3 linked regions of the Caenorhabditis elegans genome follow. The protein of the gene in region 1 purifies or fractionates together with the protein of each later gene. This does not show direct contact. Each region holds a gene or a part of one and is shown on either strand. Other genes may lie near its edges.

Region 1 (3,100 bases):
CCACCGTCACAAGTTTACACTGAAAAGCGCTGTTCTTTAATGCAGCTTCAAACTGCCTTGTTTCGTTTTCTGCGTAGTTCATATTTTTTTGTATTTGAATTTAATGTAATTTTAGTGTTTCTTTTATTCTTTTCCAAAAAGATAATGCATTTTTTGCTTGAGTTCAAGGATATTTTCATATAAAACGAAACCGGGAAGTATTAATTGCTAAAATTTATGTGGACTATGGTAGTCAAGTCCGCAAACACCAACCGCATTTTCATAATTGCGTACATTTGTTTTTCAAGCTTTTTTCTAGGCCAGAGGTACCAATTTACACGCCGTGTACTCAAATACGATATAAATATCAGAACATTGTTTCGTTCAAAAATTTCGAAGAGAAAACTGAAATTAGATAATTTTCCATTTTTTCCGTGTGGCTTTAGTTATATTTCCAGTACATAATTAACCGAGTTTGGTTCCCGTTTGAAAAAAAATGTATAAGTAATTTAAATCAACAAAAAACAACTTAATAATTAGCTAGAACGAGCAAAATCAGCTAGTAATTTGAGAACAAATAATCTCCCGAAGCTGTGACTTGGTGAAGTTAGCAAATTTGAGATTGTAGCTAAAATTAAATTGTTCAATTTTTAATTTGTTTTTTGAGCAGTCTCTTTATGTAATTCGGCCATTTTGCGTGTGTATAATCGAAAATCTAGAACCTTTATGAAATTTTAACATAAATCAAAGAACCCAAACACCAAAAAATCACAACGTTGAACCTTCTTGGCTAGACTATAGACAATTGTCATCATTTTTACCGCATGTCCCCTTGTTATTTCGTTTTCTTTGGCCACTTGTCACCCCGGTTACACTGGGAAAACCAGGCGGCGTATTTAGTTTGATTCGTTTTACTGCGCAAATATGGTAAGTTAAGTTTTCATCATTTTTCAAATCGATAATTTTTCAACAAAAAAAATTGGTTTAATTTTGTTCGCATTGATAGTTTAATTTCAGACTCACAAACGGACAAATTCCAATTATCGGCTGTGGAGGAGTGTTCAGTGGAGCAGATGCATATGAAAAGATTAGGTAAGTGAACTTCCCAGTTCGAGGTCGAGTGGGGAAATTATCAAAAACCATTCCTATCTTGCTAAAATGACCAAATATTATTATAAAACTTTTCAAAAAAAATTTGAAACATTTTTTGTTTCGTTTCAAAAAGCAGTGAAAAATCGGTTTTCCCCTATTTTTCTTTGGAAATCGACGATCAAAAAAATGTTATTCTCCAGTTTTATGTTCTAATTATGTAAAATATGCATATTTCAACATTTTAAAGGTTTAAACATGATACAGTGATATAGATTTTTCGAAAAGTAAAAACACAGTTTTCAACGCCTTTTGACTCAAAATAAAAATTGAATTATAATATTTGACCATTTGAGTACAATATATGGTAAGAATGGTTTTATTGATTTTCCCACAGGCCGTATAGTCCACCGTTATTCAATCAAAGTATTAATTTCAATTTATTTAACTAAATGTAAAATTTCAGAGCCGGTGCTAGTCTGGTCCAACTCTATTCCGCGTTCGTCTATGAAGGATTTCCGGTAATCGGAAAAATCAAACGAGAACTTGTCGAACTTTTACGGAAAGATGGATTTTCGCATGTTTCGGAAGCAATTGGAGCTGATCACAGAGAAAAAACGAAATAATTATATTCCCAAGATTTTTGTTATTTTTTCAGGTTGACTTCATTTTCATGGGTGTTTCAAAATTGTTTTATAATTGAATTATTTTCTTCCGATGTTCAATGTGCCTTTTCATGAGATTGTAGGGTAATTCTTAGTATTTTCTGCATAAATTATTTGATTTCCTTATGTTTTTTTTTTCAATTTATACTAAAGTTTCTGGTTTTCAACCGAAATATATCACTTTTGAATAATTTTCAACGACTTAGAGACCATTTTTTGTTTCAGGGTTCATCAATTATGTCGGAGCTACGTGTCATTTCTCTCGATGAGGTCTCAAAGCACAACTGGGAAGATGCTGATCAATCGTGTTGGATTGTCATCTCCGGAAAGGTAATTTTTTTTTCATTTTTTAAATTTAAATATCGAAATCATTCCTTACAGGTCTACGATGTGACAAAGTTCTTGAATGAGCATCCAGGAGGTGAAGAAGTCATCACTCAATTAGCCGGTAAAGATGCTACAGTTGGATTCCTCGATGTTGGGCACTCAAAAGATGCTATTGAAATGGCCAATGAATATCTCATTGGTCAATTGCCAGAATCAGACGTTCCAAAAGTCGAGACAGCGGCTGCGAAACCTTCGAAAAACGAAAAATCATCATCTCTCCTCAATGATTTCACCGAAATTATGACTTCACCAACATGGACCAACTTCCTGATTCCAACTACAATGGGACTTGTCATTTATGCCGTGTACAAGTGCATGTTCAATTAAATTACCTTAGCTCTTATCCTATTCTTTTGATCTTATGCGCCCACTTTCTTGAAATGCATCAAAGAACATTTGTTTCTATGGACTTTTATATATGTGATAAAGATTTGTTGTCAATATTTTCATATGTTACTGAAGGAAAAATGGGTGGAGCCTTGGAGATATCGATGTAACTTTAGTCGCAAGATTAGTCCTATTGAAACAATTAAAAAAAATATTCAGATCAAATGCTTCGTCAGATTCTTCGTCCAATTTTGAGTATGGATTTTACACAAAAAACAATTTTCTAATTTCTTGACGATTCAGATTCTTCCCGCCGATTCGCAGATATAAAACCAAAACAAAGTGCGAAGGAGAAGGTGATGGCTGAGAAGACACCGAAAGGAGCACTTGATAAAGCAGACGAACAACAATATGAAGATCCTCACCTCAAGAAACATCCGGGAGGTGTGAATAAGTCAACTGGAGAAGTTGGTGGACCAGCTGGACCAGAGCCAACTCGATATGGTGATTGGGAGAGGAAGGGAAGAGTTTCAGATTTTTGAAATGTTTTATTAATTGCTGTTAAAGTCAAGTCAGATCATCATTGTTTTGTAGTGCAAATAAATAAATGTTTTAAACATAGAGTGACATTAATCGTAATAGGGTACACAAAT
Region 2 (7,493 bases), on another chromosome or scaffold:
AAAAAAAGTTAGTGAGTCCAAAGTATACGGTACCGACCGGTCTCGACACGAAGGATACGATTACTGCAGAATAGAATGTGCGCCTTTAAAGATTACGGTAATGTCGAAGCTTTGGAAATCGATTAAAGAAATGAATTTTTTCTCATTTTAATAAAAACAAATTTTATGCAAAATTGGGCTGGAAAAAAGACTTTTGTTCGAAGCTGCTAAAAAAAAGTATTATTACTTCACCGTAAAACGTGATTTTTTACAGTTTCTCCCACTACTCGAGGTAAATATATTTTTATCTTTCCTAATTGATTTTTAAAAAAAGAGAAATTTTTAAAGCTAGATCAGAAATGGTTTAGTGTATGTGGTATTATTCGTAGCGACAGAGTCAATACTAATGAAATCTGTGAATATTTTTTAAGTGTTGAAGAATATAAGATAATTTTGTTCATTTAAAAATACTTCGTATGCTTAATCTTTTGACAGGCTTGATTTTTGAAAAGACGGAAATTTTGGATATCTTTCATCAGAACTAGAAAATTTATTTACTCTGGAAAAGGCAAAAAAAAAGAATACAGTGAAACAACAAGCATATCAAAATATTACAATTCTACAGAGCAGATCCGGCAAACATCGACGGGAAATTAGGCAGAAAGAGTGGAGAAAAGAGGGACGATTGAGGAAAGAGAGAGAGGGTAGGGGGGTTAATGATGAAAATAGAACGAGTGACAGAGAGATTTATACATAACGAAGTGGATCAAAACAATAGGTATAGGAAGATCCAATCTTGCTATTTGTTGTTGTAGTTGTGAGTAGAATGGCTTACAGTTCCCTGGAAAATATTGAATCAATGAATTATTAGTACCTGCAGAAGCTCAGCTTATATATTCTGTTAAATCAAAACAAAGTACAAAATCTTGATATTCACTACTCACTCCGACTCGATAAATCCATTCGTGTAGACACGGAGCATGAACTCGGCTTCCTCGTTTGGTTCAAATGTTGATGGAACGACAACATAGTTGCCCGGGGGTACACGGAAGCGGCCAGTCATCTGAAAATTTGGTTTTTAAAATTTAATTTTGAAGATAGAAAATTACCTCTCTTAAATTGATGAAAGCGGCCGATCTCATCGCGGATTTGTTGGCAGCGAAGAACTGTTTACTCAGTCGACCACGGTTATTTCCGGCCTGAATAGTATGTAATTTTATAAAGCTTGAAAAAATCTTTGGTTCGGACGAACACAGAGACAGAAAATACAATTTTCTTTCAAATGACTGCATTTTTCTGTTATTTGATACGTTTCACACATCCAATAGTAAACAACAAAACATAAATATTGGTTAGATAATGTCAAAAAATCAGCACGTGTACTTCAACAATAAAACAATACACACTAAACAAAGTGGGTGAGGTTCACTGAATGTGGGTTATTTTGAACTAGAAACGACGTGATTTGGACAATTTTACCGGTTTCACAAGATTTTCAATTAGCCAACTTACATTGTTCATCTGTAAATTTTTAGCGTATTTAAAAGGTTTAAAAATTTTTTAGTAGTTTTAGGGGAAAGTTAAGTTTTCAAATGTTCCAACTATTCTATTTAAAGTTGAGGTTTTCTAGAATTGTCGTAAATTTCAGGCCAAATCCTGTTTTTTCTTCAAAATAACAATAGTCTCACGTCATAGACAGCAAATCCAATTGGCACGTTGTCAAGTCCATCTTGTTTCAGATTACGTCTTAAAAATTGGAAAAATAAAAATGATTTCCCTATCTGGTGGCGCTACCTGTATTTTTGCAAAACGGCGAATATTACAGTGCAGAGTTCATCATCATCATCAGGATCCGAATCGGTAAGTTGAACTCGGAATTGTGGATTGTTGGCGAAAGTGTCTGAATTGAAAATTGAAAATATTTGTAGATGAATATTTACTTACTGATGTAATTCCTGCATCCTCCAGCTGTTTGATTTCTAACCCATGCACCATCATGAGTATTTGCAGCCCAAACCATTCCAGCGGCCTTGACACCAGTCATTTGATAGACTTCATCCATAACATCTGGTCCAAGATTGCAAATTTCCATTTTCTCGAAATTCCTCATAAAATCATCAAATGACATCCAAAACTCTCCATCATGATCGAATTTCAGTCCCATATCTTGTTTTACAGAATCTGGAACACTTCGCCATTCGCGTGAATTGTCTGACCATGGTCCATTCCATTCCTGTTCATTTCCCCATGGATTACGGATTCGAAGAATGCAAGTTTGTCCATTTGGTCCGTCAACAATTCGGCATCCGGTAATTGAATAGGCGTGTCCTTTCACTAAACCATTCGACATTTTTGCTTCCCAAACATTTGGATCGGCTTCGATGGAGCAACCGAATAGGGATCCCATCTCGAATCTGAAATTTTGTTAATACATGGACGCTAAAATTTGCGCAAAAAATACGGTAATCGGTCTCGACACGACAACTTTTTGTCGAATATAAATAGGGGATCACTTTTAAAGAGTACTTTACTTTCAAGATTTTATTTTTGTGGAATTTTTTATCGATTTTTCATAGTTTGTGTGTTCTTAATTGTTTTATTTCTGTTTCTAACAAAAAACTATGCAAAATCAATGAAAATTCGGCATCAACGAAAGTTTGAAACTACAGTACTCATTAAAGGCGCACAGACATTCATAATTAACAAAAATTGTCGCGTCGAGACCGGGTACTGTAGTTTGGCACAACTCGTTTTTGGATAATAATGTAAATTAGACTTTAATCCCTACCCTCTCATCATCATTTGCATCAAGTTTCTTGGTGGGTTTTTGAGGTCGATAAACTCGGTGAGTCCTCCAGTCATGTCCTCAAGTGCTTCAGATGTGGTACCTCCCTTGAGAGCCTCGTATGATCCGAACAATCTTGAAAATTAATTAACTAGTTTATTCCTTCATAAATGTCGGTCAAAAGTCCGAACTTACTTTGCATATGCCTTCTCTAAAAGTGCACTCCAGAACTCATTATTACTAGCAGAATGCATATAGAGAAGCTCGCCGTTACTCGTTGGTAATCTGTCGTCAATAACAACATCCACCCATTTTCCGTACTGCCAGAATTGGAAATGGAAGATTCCAGCGTAGTTTTCAGTGAAAGATTGATCTGGTGGAACCACACGATAGAAGAGCTCATCCTTGAGAGTTAAATTGGCTGCAGCAGCCAAGAGCCAACAATCTCCGAGTTCTCCCTGAAAGAATATATAATTTTAATAGTACATTTCAAATATTAAAAATTCTGAAAATAATCCAAGAGCTAACCTGAATAACATCAAATCTCGAGTGACCCTCTGTAATCAGTTGTGGCTCTCTTGTGATTTCTCCAGGACGAAGCCATTCTACACGTTTTGGTGGACGTTTCGAGAAGAATAACGAACTATCATTGGCCAAGAATTGTGGATCCTCGAATAGTCGTTTGCTCTGAATTTATTATTTTAAAAATGATATGTTTTGAACACTCACCTCAAGACATTGATCTCTGAGCTCATAGAAGTCTTGTGGTTCGGTAGTTGGTCTTGGTGAAATAGGGCTTGGACCACTTCCACCACCTCCTCTATCTGGATCTGGTCCTGGACGAACGAATGGATCAACATCCCTACGGAACTTTCCAGAAATAATATTGTCCAGAATAACTTTTCCGATATTTCCAAGAGAATTATCTTTTCCACCAAGTCCCATAATCACATTTCCAGCGACAGCTCCAATGATTCTGCCTGTACCCGGATCAACGCCGAGGAATCTGTGAGCAGCTTCTCCAATGAGATTTCCGATAACATTCACCATTCCACCGTTGAGATTATTCGGGTTCACATTTCCACCTCCACCATTGTACTGGCCACCGCCTCCTCCGCCAATGAGAGATCCGATTCCTCCGAGGATATCTCCGAAGCCTCCTCCACCACCGCCTAAAATTTTTCAAATTATTCAAAGTATATTAATAAATGTTCTATACCTTGTCTCTGGCCACCACCACCACCACCTCCCATACTGTTGATGAGTCCACCGATATCATTGAAGTTAAAGCCACCGCCTCCGCCGCCTCCTTGATTTCCACCACCACCGCCGTAGTTACCACCTCCGCCTAAAATATTACTCTAGCTTGAATTTCATGGGTGCCACATTTGTGTAGATAGTTCAGAAATGAAATACAATTAGATGTGATAAATAAGTGTCAATAAGATCTATAAATGTTCTGATCATCAGCTCTATTAACTATTAAAATATTAACACAACATTTATGATACTACATGCACACTACAATCCTAATGCATACCACCACCACCAATAAGTGATCCGACCAAGCTTCCGATGTTGTTTCCACCACCGCCACCGCCACTGCCGCCTCCGCCTAAATTTCACACGAAATATCACAGCAAACATGCAAAATATTGCATTTTTAAAGGAAAATCACGAATCATCAGTCAAAAGCGAATTAACAGGAGAATTTAAAAGTCTAAAGCTTCTTTCAAAATAGCCATATTTTTCAAATCAAATTTTGGAAATGAGTGGTGTTGTTAGTATTTAAGTGAGTGTTGGTGAGTGCGTAGAAGCTTAACTTATTGTATTTTCAAACTCTCAGACCGTAATTTTGCCCTCCGCCGCCTCTTTGTCCACCGCCGCCACCTCCGCCGCTCAAAAGTCCCCCAAGAATGTCTCCGAACCCTCCGCCACCGCCAGATCCACCTCCACCACCAAAATTGTTATTTGGTGGCGGCTGTTGTCGACCTCCACCTGATTTTTAACATAAGTTGATGAATTTGTGCTATGAGCGTGGAATTGCGCTATTTTCAAGAAAAAAGCTTGAAGATTGGTGAACAATTACGGAACAAAAGACAAAGAAGCTTCACATTCCCAGACGTCCAAGAATGAAAAACTAGAAAAAAAACCGAGGATAATAAATTACAGACCATGTTCAGAAAATTTGAGAAAATGATTAAGCTAATTATATAATCAAATCTATAGAAAGCACAAAACAGCAAATAAAAAAAACACAAACGCTACCATAGTTATCCTGCTCCTTCTTTCCTTTCCTATTCACCACATTATCGAATATTCCTCCAATCAAGTCTTTCGCCATGTCTCGTTTCCTTTTTTGTTGATCTCCGCTGTTCCCATTCCCGCCTTGATCGTAGTTCGAACCTATGGATTACTGTAGCAGCAAATGGGATTACGATAACATGGACAACATATAAGGTGTGAGAAAAAATTCACTGATCTAAGCCACACGGTGATGTTTTGAGTGAATCTAAATGTTTTCTAACACAAAAAAAGGAACTTGAATTTTTAGGGAATTTTTGTCTGACAATTTTGAAAATAAAAATACCTCCACCGAATCCTCCATTTCCACCACCGAAACCTCCGCCTCCGCCGCCGCCTCCTCCGCCGCCTCCACCTCCGAAGAAGTTACTGGCAAGGCCTCCAAGGATATCACCACCGGCGCCACCGACCTGTGAGATAATTAGTTTTAGGTTGCAATTAAATTTCAACATGTCTATGTAGCAAATTTAAAAAAAAAATATTCTAACCAAAAATTAAACTAACCTTATCTCTAATCAGGTTACCAGCAATTGATCCAATTAATCCATTGAATTCATCCGGCTTCACTTCGACTTTTTGAATAATTTCTTCCTCATCGTCAGCCATTTTGATTCCGTCGGCTTTTGCTGTGAAACCGTCGGTTGTTGTCTTTTTTTGATAGTTTTCCTCCTCGTTTGAGCCTGCCGCACGATTTTCGGGGTCTGCAAAACAGAATATCTATGAATTTGAAATAAAATTTGATTTTTGTTCAACGAAAAAGTCAGAAGAAGCAGAGCAATCAGGCTCACAACATAGAGAAAAAAAAAACAAATTTTTACCTCTTCTTGGGGATACAGCAATTGAGAATGGAAACATAAAATAATTTTTAGAGTTAGAGCTTTTTTTAAGGAATGTGTAATTCTTAAAATCGATAAGCCCTTTGCGTGCTCTTTGAGCCTTCGGAGTTGGGGAGACAAAGATTAGCGTCAACTTTTTTGTGCATGCATTTTTCTGTTTTTTTTCTCATATTTTCTGAGCACGAAACAACATAAATTTAGTTGACAGAATAAAGGAAATTTGAGTTAATGGAAATAGAAACTTTATCTATTAATTTATTTGATTGTCATCAATTAGCTATCGATGGCAAACAAAACGGATGAACCTAATTGGAAACGGATAAAAATATAAATTCAATGTGACAGGGGGAGAAAAAAAAACTAGATTTTATTTTTTTGTTTCTCTTTTGGTTTTTCGGTCTTGTTTTCAATTTAATCGTCACGGAAATTGGTATTGGAGTGAGGCACAACACACCAAAAAAACAATTGCCACATTCAATGGGTTTCGAAATATAGAATATGCTCAGAAAATCAGATAAAACTAAGCAAATCGTAATTTTTGAACATGATTTTCAATTATTCAAGGATTTTTCTTTCAATTTTGTTCCGAAATTTCCCTGTATGACCTTTTGATACGGATAAAATTGTCTTTTGAAACCGAGAAAACGAACAAAAAACATTTGGAAATCGATGTAAAAGCTGCGGGGGACCAGAGTTTGCGTGTTTTGCTTTTGAAACCAATTCTACATTCCCATGAGTCTAAGCGAAGGACATGTCAACTCAGTGTCAGGAGCAGGCCGAAAATGTGTTTTTTTTTTAATTTAGAGTTCAGAAAAAAAACCACACCTTCTGAAGATACTCTGGATCACACGTAGACAACAATACAATACATTTCTTGAATTTTTTTTCATACAAATTTGACTCACCAACAAGACAACAATTGAATACATTCATTGCACCGGGCAATTCTCCTCGAGAAACGAGCACAGAATGAGCTCAAAAAGGGAGCAACAAGCAGCTCGTTTTGAGAAATGGAGAGCTAGAGGGACCAACCGGAAATAAAGGAGCACCCTATGGCTCAGAGCAGGAAAAAGTTGCTCTTTTTTTTCTCGAAACGGAATGTGATGGCAGAAATAGAGGGGAAAAGATGTTCCGCGCCGTTGATAATTGGTTTTGGTGAGGCTCCGGGGCTCAGTTGCTCTTTTTGTTTTTGTTTTCCGTTAGGTTCTATTCGCAGGTGATCGATAGCATAGAGGAAAAGGTCCCTTTTTCTTTGAAAAGAGAATAAAATTTTGTGTATCGAAGCACTTTTTTTTGGATTTATAGGTGAGTGACCAGAGAACTCTTTAGAATAAAGAAGTGGTGAGCGATTTAAAAATGAGAAAATTTCACCAACGTTGGTTGCCAATCATTCAAAAAGCCAGGGTTTGAGCTGTCTGAGCCCCATTTGACGATTATCTAGATGTTGCGGATTTACGACTTACAATTACAGAAATCTAAATCCAAATGAGGACTGTTCTTTTTTGTTTAATTTTTTTTATTTGGCTCCTAAAATATTCATTTTATTTGTTAATTTTTGTCAAAGGAGAAAAGCAACTGAAATTTTTTTG
Region 3 (7,863 bases), on another chromosome or scaffold:
GTGGAAAATTGAAAATTTCTCCAATTTTTCTCCGCAAATTTCAGACTCAAAATACTACAACACAAGCCGTATGGACTATTTGGCTCCGCGAGTTCCGATGCGTAATAGTGCACTGAAACGTCTATCCGTCTACGTGGCAGAAGTACCGTGCCACGTGGAATTTGAAGAGTTTGACGAGTTACGGTATGGCGGGAATTTGAAAATTTATTTTTGAAAAAAAAAAAAAATTTTTAGCTAAATTTTTTATAAAATTTCGAGTTTTTTGAGCTTCAAAATTCAATAATTTTCAAAACCCACCTTAAGCTCCGCCCCTTTCTGACCCGAAATTTTGTTTCAGCTGGACACCACAAGCTGAGCAGTACCCATCTCCTGTAGATACTGACGGTTATTTCCTCGTCGGATCCCATCATGACGTCATCATGCACTCGGGACGTGTCCGCTACCCAGGAACACTCGAAAAAATGGGACAAACTATTCTGTTGACGCCAATCGCCGAGAAATAACGACGCTCCGCCCACTAATTTGACCGATTTTTCCGGAAAAATCACTTTTATAGCCCCGCCTCTTTTTTTTCTAGGCTCCGCCCCTTTCTTGGCAAATTTCCAGACTCCGCCCTATTCTTGGCAGTTTTATTCGGAAAATGCATTTTTTTTTTCAATTTTCACCTAAAATTCGTATTTCCCAAAAACTTTTGCTCAATTTCCCGATAAAATCGATAAATTGTTAAGCCCCGCCTTCTTTTTCTAAGCCCCTCCCCTTTTTTGGCAATTTTCCAGACTCCGCCCCATTCTTGGCAGTTTTAGTCGGAAAATGCATTTTTTTTTTTCAATTTTCACCTAAAATTCGTATTTCCCAAAAACTTTTGCTCAATTTCTCGATAAAATCGATAAATTGTTAAGCCCCGCCTTCTTTTTCGAGGCTCCGCCCCTTTCTTGGCAATTTTTTTTCAGAAATGGGTAGATCACTCATTTTTTGTGGGAACTTTCAAAATACTTCAACTTTTGCTTATTTTTACGAAAAAAACAAAATAATTTCCAAGCCCCGCCCCTTTCTTGACAATTTTCCAGACCCCGCCCCTTTATTGGCACTTTTAGTCGGATAACTGAATAATTATTTGATTTTCACCTAAAATTCGTATTTCCCAAGGAATTTTAGCTCAATTTCCCGAGAAAATCGATAACTTCCTAAGCCCCGCTCTCTTTTTTCGAGACTCCGCCCCTTTCGAGGCAACTTGTCTGACTCCGCCCCATTCTTGGCAGTTTTAGTCGGAAAATGCTTTTTTTTTTCAATTTTCACCTAAAATTCGTATTTCCCAAGGAATTTTAGCTCAATTTCCCGAGAAAATCGATAACTTGTCAAGCCCCGCCTTCTTTTTCGAGGCTCCGCCCCTTTCGTGGCAATTTGTAAGACTCCGCCCCTTTTTGTTTTTGACAATTGTTCAGATTCCGACCCTTGCTTGGTAACTTTTTTAATATTTCTTGTTGTACATTTTTGTTCGTAATGTATATTTATTGCATAAGCTCCGCCGCCATTTCTTGGCCCCGCCCCCATCCTATGAGGCTCCGCCTCTTTTTCTATACCAACAATTTCTTTTTTGTATTTTATTTCTCTGACATTCCTTTGCTCATTGTCTTTTTTGAAATTTTTTGATATTTTATAATAAGCTAGCCACGCCCCTTTCTTGGGTGTGGCTCCGCCCCTTTATTGGATTTTTTTTCAAAAAAATTTACTCTCTCTCTATTTTTCTTAATTTCTTAATGTCGTCCAGAATCGTTTTTCAAAAACGATTTGAATATTTTTCATCATAAGCCCCGCCCCTTTCCTCCCTAACCACGCCCCCACTTTGCAGAGATGACGTCATCGCTCACAATATGCTCAATTCCAGACGGAGTGAAGGAGGATTTGAAGAAGTTTCGATTCTCGAAGAGTACAACGATGAACGCTTTGATTTGTAAGTCCACCACGCCCATTTCATGGCAGATTTTTCGAAAACTAAGCCACGCCCACTTCTCTAGGCGCCGCCTATTTCTGGGTCAATTTTTGCTAAAAATCGTGAATATAGAATAAGATTAAAAAGGCCACGCCTAGTTAATGGCGACAAATGCAATTCTAAAAATAGGCCACGCCTATTTTTCTAGGCACCGCCCATTTCTCTAGACTCCGCATCGTTAATGGAAATCTGCCAAATTTTATGAGTTTTAGAAAATAAATTCTGGTAGACTTATCGGAAAGTACCATAGCCCCGCCTACTTTTGGAGGCTCCGCCCACATTTTATCCCAGGCTCCGCCCCTTTAATAGAAACCAAAAATTTTCTCAAAACTTGCCGAAAAAATGCAGGTTTATATAGATTCCAAAAAAAAAATTCCAAAAAAATTTGGTCACGCCCACTTGCGGAGGCTCCACCCACTTCTTGGCATAAGTCATTGAAAATGCAAATTTTTGCGAAAAAAACACTGCAACTTTTTCCTCACGAGGGACGAGGAAAAGTGGTTTCTAGGCCATGGCCGAGGGGCCGACAAGTTTCAGCGGCCATTTATCTTGCTTTGTTTTCCGCCTGTTTTCTTTCGTTTTTCATCGATTTTTTCGTTTTTTCTTAATAAAACTGATAAATAAATATTTTTTGCAGATGCTAAAACAATTTCCAAGTAAAAAACTTATGTATTCAGTGGGCAAGCAGCGGTGAAAGTGGTCAATGCAATATGATGGATTACGGGAATACAAAACCTAAACTTTTTCTGAAACATGATACATATGCTGCTTAGATGCTGAAACTACCTGATTTTCATAACGAGACCGCTGAAAAAGTTTTGAGGTTTCCGAAATTCAACTTTTTTTGCGAAAATCTCGGCTTTTTCACCAAAAAAGTTGAATTTTGGAACCTTCAAAACTTTTTCAGCGGTCTCGTTATGAAAATCAGGTAGTTTCAGCATTTAAGCAGCATATGTATTATGTTTCAGAAAAAGTTTAGGTTTTGTATTCCCGTAATCCATCATTTTACATTGACCACTTTCACCGCTGCTTGCCCACTGAATACATAATTTTTTTTATTTGGAAATTGTTTTAGCATCTGCAAAAAGTATTTATTTATCAGTTTTAATAAGAAAAAACGGGAAAAAGCTGTGAAAAACGAAAGAAAACAGGCGGAAAACAAGGCAAAATAAATGGCCGCTGAAACTTGTCGGCCCCTCGGCCATGGCCTAGAAACCACTTTTCCTCGTCCCTCGTGAGGAAAAAGTTGCAGTGAGAAAATTAGTTTCTGGGCTGAAATTTTCGGTTTTTCCCAATTTTTCAGTTGTAAAAATCCAAAAAATTGCCATTTTTCAGTGAAAATCGACCGGGAATCGCATGAGCTTCAATCGGAGCAACTGCTCAATGATTGCTCAATTGAAGAGTTTAAAGAAGAGCTTCCAAGTCAACAACCACGGTTTATTCTACTCAGTTGGTGCAAAAAACATTCGGACGAACGAATTTCATATCCAATGCTTCTGATTTATTATTGCCCAAATGGTAAAATTTTTTTGTCGAAATTTGTCGAAAAATCTCGAGAAAAACGCTAAAAATGTTATGTTTTGCCGGAAAAATCGGGTAAATTCTGAAGTTGTAGAGCTAAACTTAAACGAAAAATGGTCAAAATCTGCTCATTTTAGAAAAAAAACCAAATATCGCCTAGCCCCGCCCCTTTCTTGGCAAATATTTCAAATGTGCGGACTCCTCGTACTCATTCGGTGATTTTTATGCCGGAAAACTCAAAATTCTACAGTTTTCTACTTGAAACTTTACATTTTTGAAGAAAATTTGCGCATTTTCACTAGGAATTCAAAATTTGTGTAAGCTCCGCCCATTTCTTGGCCAATATTTAAAAATGTGTTACATATTCCGCTTTTTCGGTGAATTTTTTGCCGGAAAACTCAAAATTCCACAGTTTTCAAGCAATTTTGCGTACTTTCACAAGAAACTAAAAGTTTGCGTAAGCTCCGCCCCCTTTCTTGGTAAATATTTCCACAATATCCAAACTCCGCCTACGTTTTAGATGAATTTTCCGCCGAGAGACTCAGAAGAAGAATTGTCTTTTCGTCTTTTGAACTGATATTGGTTTGGGGTTAGTGAAGGGATATGGTCGGGGTACTGTAGGGGTACGGTAGGATTACTGTAGTTTTGGAAAAATTGTCTTTTCGTCTTTTGAAGGGATATTGGTTTGGGGTTAGTGGAGGGATATGGTCGGGGTACTGTAGGGGTACGGTAGGATTACTGTAGTTTTGGAAAAATTGTCTTTTCGTCTTTTGAAGGGATATTGGTTTGGGGTTAGTGGAGGGATATGGTCGGGGTACTGTAGGGGTACGGTAGGGGTACTGTAGTTTTGGAAAAATTGTCTTTTCGTCTTTTGAAGGGATATTGGTTTAGGGTTAGTGGAGGGATATGGTCGGGGTACTGTAGGGGTACGGTAGGATTACTGTAGTTTTGGAAAAATTGTCTTTTCGTCTTTTGAAGGGATATTGGTTTAGGGTTAGTGGAGGGATATGGTCGGGGTACTGTAGGGGTACGGTAGGATTACTGTAGTTTTGGAAAAATTGTCTTTTCGTCTTTTGAAGGGATATTGGTTTAGGGTTAGTGGAGGGATATGGTCGGGGTACTGTAGGGGTACGGAAGGATTACTGTAGTTTTGGAAAAATTGTCTTTTCGTCTTTTGAAGGGATATTGGTTTAGGGTTAGTGGAGGGATATGGTCGGGGTACTGTAGGGGTACGGTAGGATTACTGTAGTTTTGGAAAAATTGTCTTTTCGTCTTTTGAAGGGATATTGGTTTGGGATTAGTGGTGGGATATGGTCGGGGTACTGTTGGGGTACTGTAGGGGTACTGTAGTTTTGGAAAAATTGTCTTTTCGTCTTTTGAAGGGATATTGGTTTGGGGTTAGTGAAGGGATATGGTCGGGGTACTGTAGGGGTACGGTAGGATTACTGTAGTTTTGGAAAAATTGTCTTTTCGTCTTTTGAAGGGATATTGGTTTGGGGTTAGTGGAGGGATATGGTCGGGGTACTGTAGGGGTACGGTAGGATTACTGTAGTTTTGGAAAAATTGTCTTTTCGTCTTTTGAAGGGATATTGGTTTGGGGTTAGTGGAGGGATATGGTCGGGGTACTGTAGGGGTACGGTAGGGGTACTGTAGTTTTGGAAAAATTGTCTTTTCGTCTTTTGAAGGGATATTGGTTTAGGGTTAGTGGAGGGATATGGTCGGGGTACTGTAGGGGTACGGTAGGATTACTGTAGTTTTGGAAAAATTGTCTTTTCGTCTTTTGAAGGGATATTGGTTTAGGGTTAGTGGAGGGATATGGTCGGGGTACTGTAGGGGTACGGTAGGATTACTGTAGTTTTGGAAAAATTGTCTTTTCGTCTTTTGAAGGGATATTGGTTTAGGGTTAGTGGAGGGATATGGTCGGGGTACTGTAGGGGTACGGAAGGATTACTGTAGTTTTGGAAAAATTGTCTTTTCGTCTTTTGAAGGGATATTGGTTTAGGGTTAGTGGAGGGATATGGTCGGGGTACTGTAGGGGTACGGTAGGATTACTGTAGTTTTGGAAAAATTGTCTTTTCGTCTTTTGAAGGGATATTGGTTTGGGATTAGTGGTGGGATATGGTCGGGGTACTGTTGGGGTACTGTAGGGGTACTGTAGTTTTGGAAAAATTGTCTTTTCGTCTTTTGAAGGGATATTGGTTTGGGGTTAGTGGAGGGATATGGTCGGGGTACTGTAGGGGTACGGTAAGATTACTGTAGTTTTGGAAAAATTGTCTTTTCGTCTTTTGAAGGGATATTGGTTTAGGGTTAGTGAAGGGATATGGTCGGGGTACTGTAGGGGTACGGAAGGATTACTGTAGTTTTGGAAAAATTGTCTTTTCGTCTTTTGAAGGGATATTGGTTTAGGGTTAGTGGAGGGATATGGTCGGGGTACTGTAGGGGTACGGTAGGATTACTGTAGTTTTGGAAAAATTGTCTTTTCGTCTTTTGAAGGGATATTGGTTTGGGATTAGTGGGGGGATATGGTCGGGGTACTGTAGGGGTACTGTAGTTTTGGAAAAATTAATCCTTGAATTTTAACACTTTTGAAAAAATCCAAAAAATGTTTGGCGCGAATTTTGAATTTTCTGACAGAACAAATTCAGAATGTGAGTAAGACCCCGCCCCTTTCTTGGGGGCAAATTTTTCGAATGTGCGCCCTCTGCCTACTTTTTGGTGAATTTTCTGCCGGAAAACTTAATATTCCACAGTTTTCTGCTTGGATCTGTACATTTTTGAAGTAATTTTGCGCATTTTCACTAGAAGTTCAAATTTTTGCCTAGCCCCGCCCCCCTTTCTTGGCAAATTTACAGACTCCGCCTATTTTTCGTGAGTTTTTGTTGCCGGAGAACTCAAAATTCTACAGTTTTCTACTTTTGGAACTTTATATTTTTGAAAAACTTTGCAGATTTTAATGAAAAATTCGAATTGTTGTTTTTAGCCCCGCCCCTTTCTTGGCCAAATTTTCAAAAATGCCGATTTTGCCCATTTTCTAAAACTTTGTGTGGTCGAAAATGTCAGCATTTTACGATTCGAAGCTTAAATTTTTGAACTTTTAAAGGAAATGTGATGTTAGGCTCCGTCCACTTAATTGAAGGCACATGTTTATCGAATTTTCCAAGAAAGGGGCGGGGTTTCGCCAATTTTATCCAAAAAAAATTTCACGGAAATGTAAAATTTTGTCAAAATTTTAGAATTTCGTGATGAATTTTCGATTTTTTTGAAATTGAAAAAAAGGCGTGGCTTGCTGGACTTGGCCCCGCCCCCTCTTTCTTGACTAATTTCTTTGAGAATGCAATTTTTTCTGGGATGATTTTGCCGGAAATCTTAGAAATCCCCACTTTTCTGCTTGAAAGTTTACATTTCACTGCAACTTTCTCCTCACGAGGGACGAGGAAAAGTGGTTTCTAGGCCATGGCCGAGGGGCCGACAAGTTTCAGCGGCCATTTATCTTGCTTTGTTTTCCGCCTGTTTTCTTTCGTTTTTCACTGATTTTTTTCGTTTTTTCTTAATAAAACTGATAAATAAATATTTTTTGCAGATGCTAAAACAATTTCCAAGTGAAAAAATTATGTATTCAGTGGGCAAGCAGCGGTGAAAGTGGTCAATGCAATATGATGGATTACGGGAATACAAAATCCAAACTTTTTCCCAAACATGATACATATGCTGTTTGGATGCTAAAAGTACCTGATTTTCATAACGAGACCGCTGAAAAAGTTTTGAGATTTTCAAAATTCAAATTTTTTAGTGAAAAAGTCGAGATTTTTGCACAAAATGTCGAATTTTGAAAAACTCAAAACTTTTTCAGCGGTCTCGTTATGAAAATCAGGTAATTTCATATGTATTATGTTTCAGAAAAAGTTTAGGTTTTGTATTCCCGTAATCCATCATTTTACATTGACCACTTTCACCGCTGCTTGCCCACTGAATACATAATTTTTTCACTTGGAAATTGTTTTAGCATCTGCAAAAAATATTTATTTATCAGTTTTAATAAGAAAAAACGAAAAAAATCGATGAAAAACGAAAGAAAACAGGCGGAAAACAAAGCAAGATAAATGGCCGCTGAAACTTGTCGGCCCCTCGGCCATGGCCTAGAAACCACTTCTCGTCCCTCGTGAGGAAAAAGTTGCAGTGCATTTGTGAAAAAAAATTCACGGGTTTCAACAAAAATTTAGAATGTTTGCTTAGCTCCGCCCCTTTCTCCTTGCTCAGTTTAGGCTCCACCCACCTAATGGAAAACAAAAAAAAAAGGATTTTTTCACAGGAAGCAGCCCGGAACTCCAAATGCTGTACGCTGGGAGCCGTAA

What was found.
Region 2: the proteins of cytb-5.2 (region 1) and clp-1 fractionate together in Caenorhabditis elegans (co-fractionation; one large-scale study listed by BioGRID). This does not show direct contact.
Region 3: the proteins of cytb-5.2 (region 1) and Y50D7A.10 fractionate together in Caenorhabditis elegans (co-fractionation; one large-scale study listed by BioGRID). This does not show direct contact.

What each region holds. Positions count from the first base shown.
Region 1 is NC_003279.8:6,739,318-6,742,417, forward strand, and holds cytb-5.2 (Cytochrome b5 heme-binding domain-containing protein), read left to right. Parts: upstream 1-1,958; 5' UTR 1,959-1,970; coding exon 1,971-2,063; intron 2,064-2,114; coding exon 2,115-2,447; 3' UTR 2,448-2,559; downstream 2,560-3,100. Other genes in the region: dhod-1 (Dihydroorotate dehydrogenase (quinone), mitochondrial), read left to right, coding at 997-1,071, 1,535-1,694; W02D3.12 (Succinate dehydrogenase assembly factor 4, mitochondrial), read left to right, coding at 2,672-2,702, 2,751-2,989.
Region 2 is NC_003281.10:7,979,350-7,986,842, reverse strand, and holds clp-1 (Calpain clp-1), read right to left. Parts: upstream 5,770-7,493; 5' UTR 5,675-5,769; coding exon 5,573-5,674; intron 5,479-5,572; coding exon 5,355-5,478; coding exon of another isoform or gene 5,239-5,354; exon of another isoform or gene 5,171-5,238; coding exon 5,033-5,170; intron 4,380-5,032; coding exon of another isoform or gene 4,305-4,379; intron 4,113-4,304; coding exon 3,984-4,112; intron 3,937-3,983; coding exon 3,494-3,936; intron 3,452-3,493; coding exon 3,293-3,451; intron 3,223-3,292; coding exon 2,960-3,222; intron 2,900-2,959; coding exon 2,768-2,899; intron 2,394-2,767; coding exon 1,924-2,393; intron 1,880-1,923; coding exon 1,774-1,879; intron 1,726-1,773; coding exon 1,668-1,725; intron 1,501-1,667; coding exon of another isoform or gene 1,492-1,500; intron 1,179-1,491; coding exon 1,089-1,178; intron 1,043-1,088; coding exon 924-1,042; intron 821-923; coding exon 811-820; 3' UTR 515-810; downstream 1-514. UniProt on the Caenorhabditis elegans protein: Calcium-regulated non-lysosomal thiol-protease which catalyzes limited proteolysis of substrates. Required for assembly and maintenance of integrin attachment complexes which are essential for maintenance of adult muscle.
Region 3 is NC_003281.10:313,611-321,473, forward strand, and holds the start of Y50D7A.10 (ADF-H domain-containing protein), read left to right. Parts: upstream 1-1,849; 5' UTR 1,850-1,851; coding exon 1,852-1,951; intron 1,952-3,325; coding exon 3,326-3,508; intron 3,509-7,820; coding exon 7,821-7,863. Other genes in the region: Y50D7A.1 (F-box domain-containing protein), read left to right, coding at 45-183, 338-503.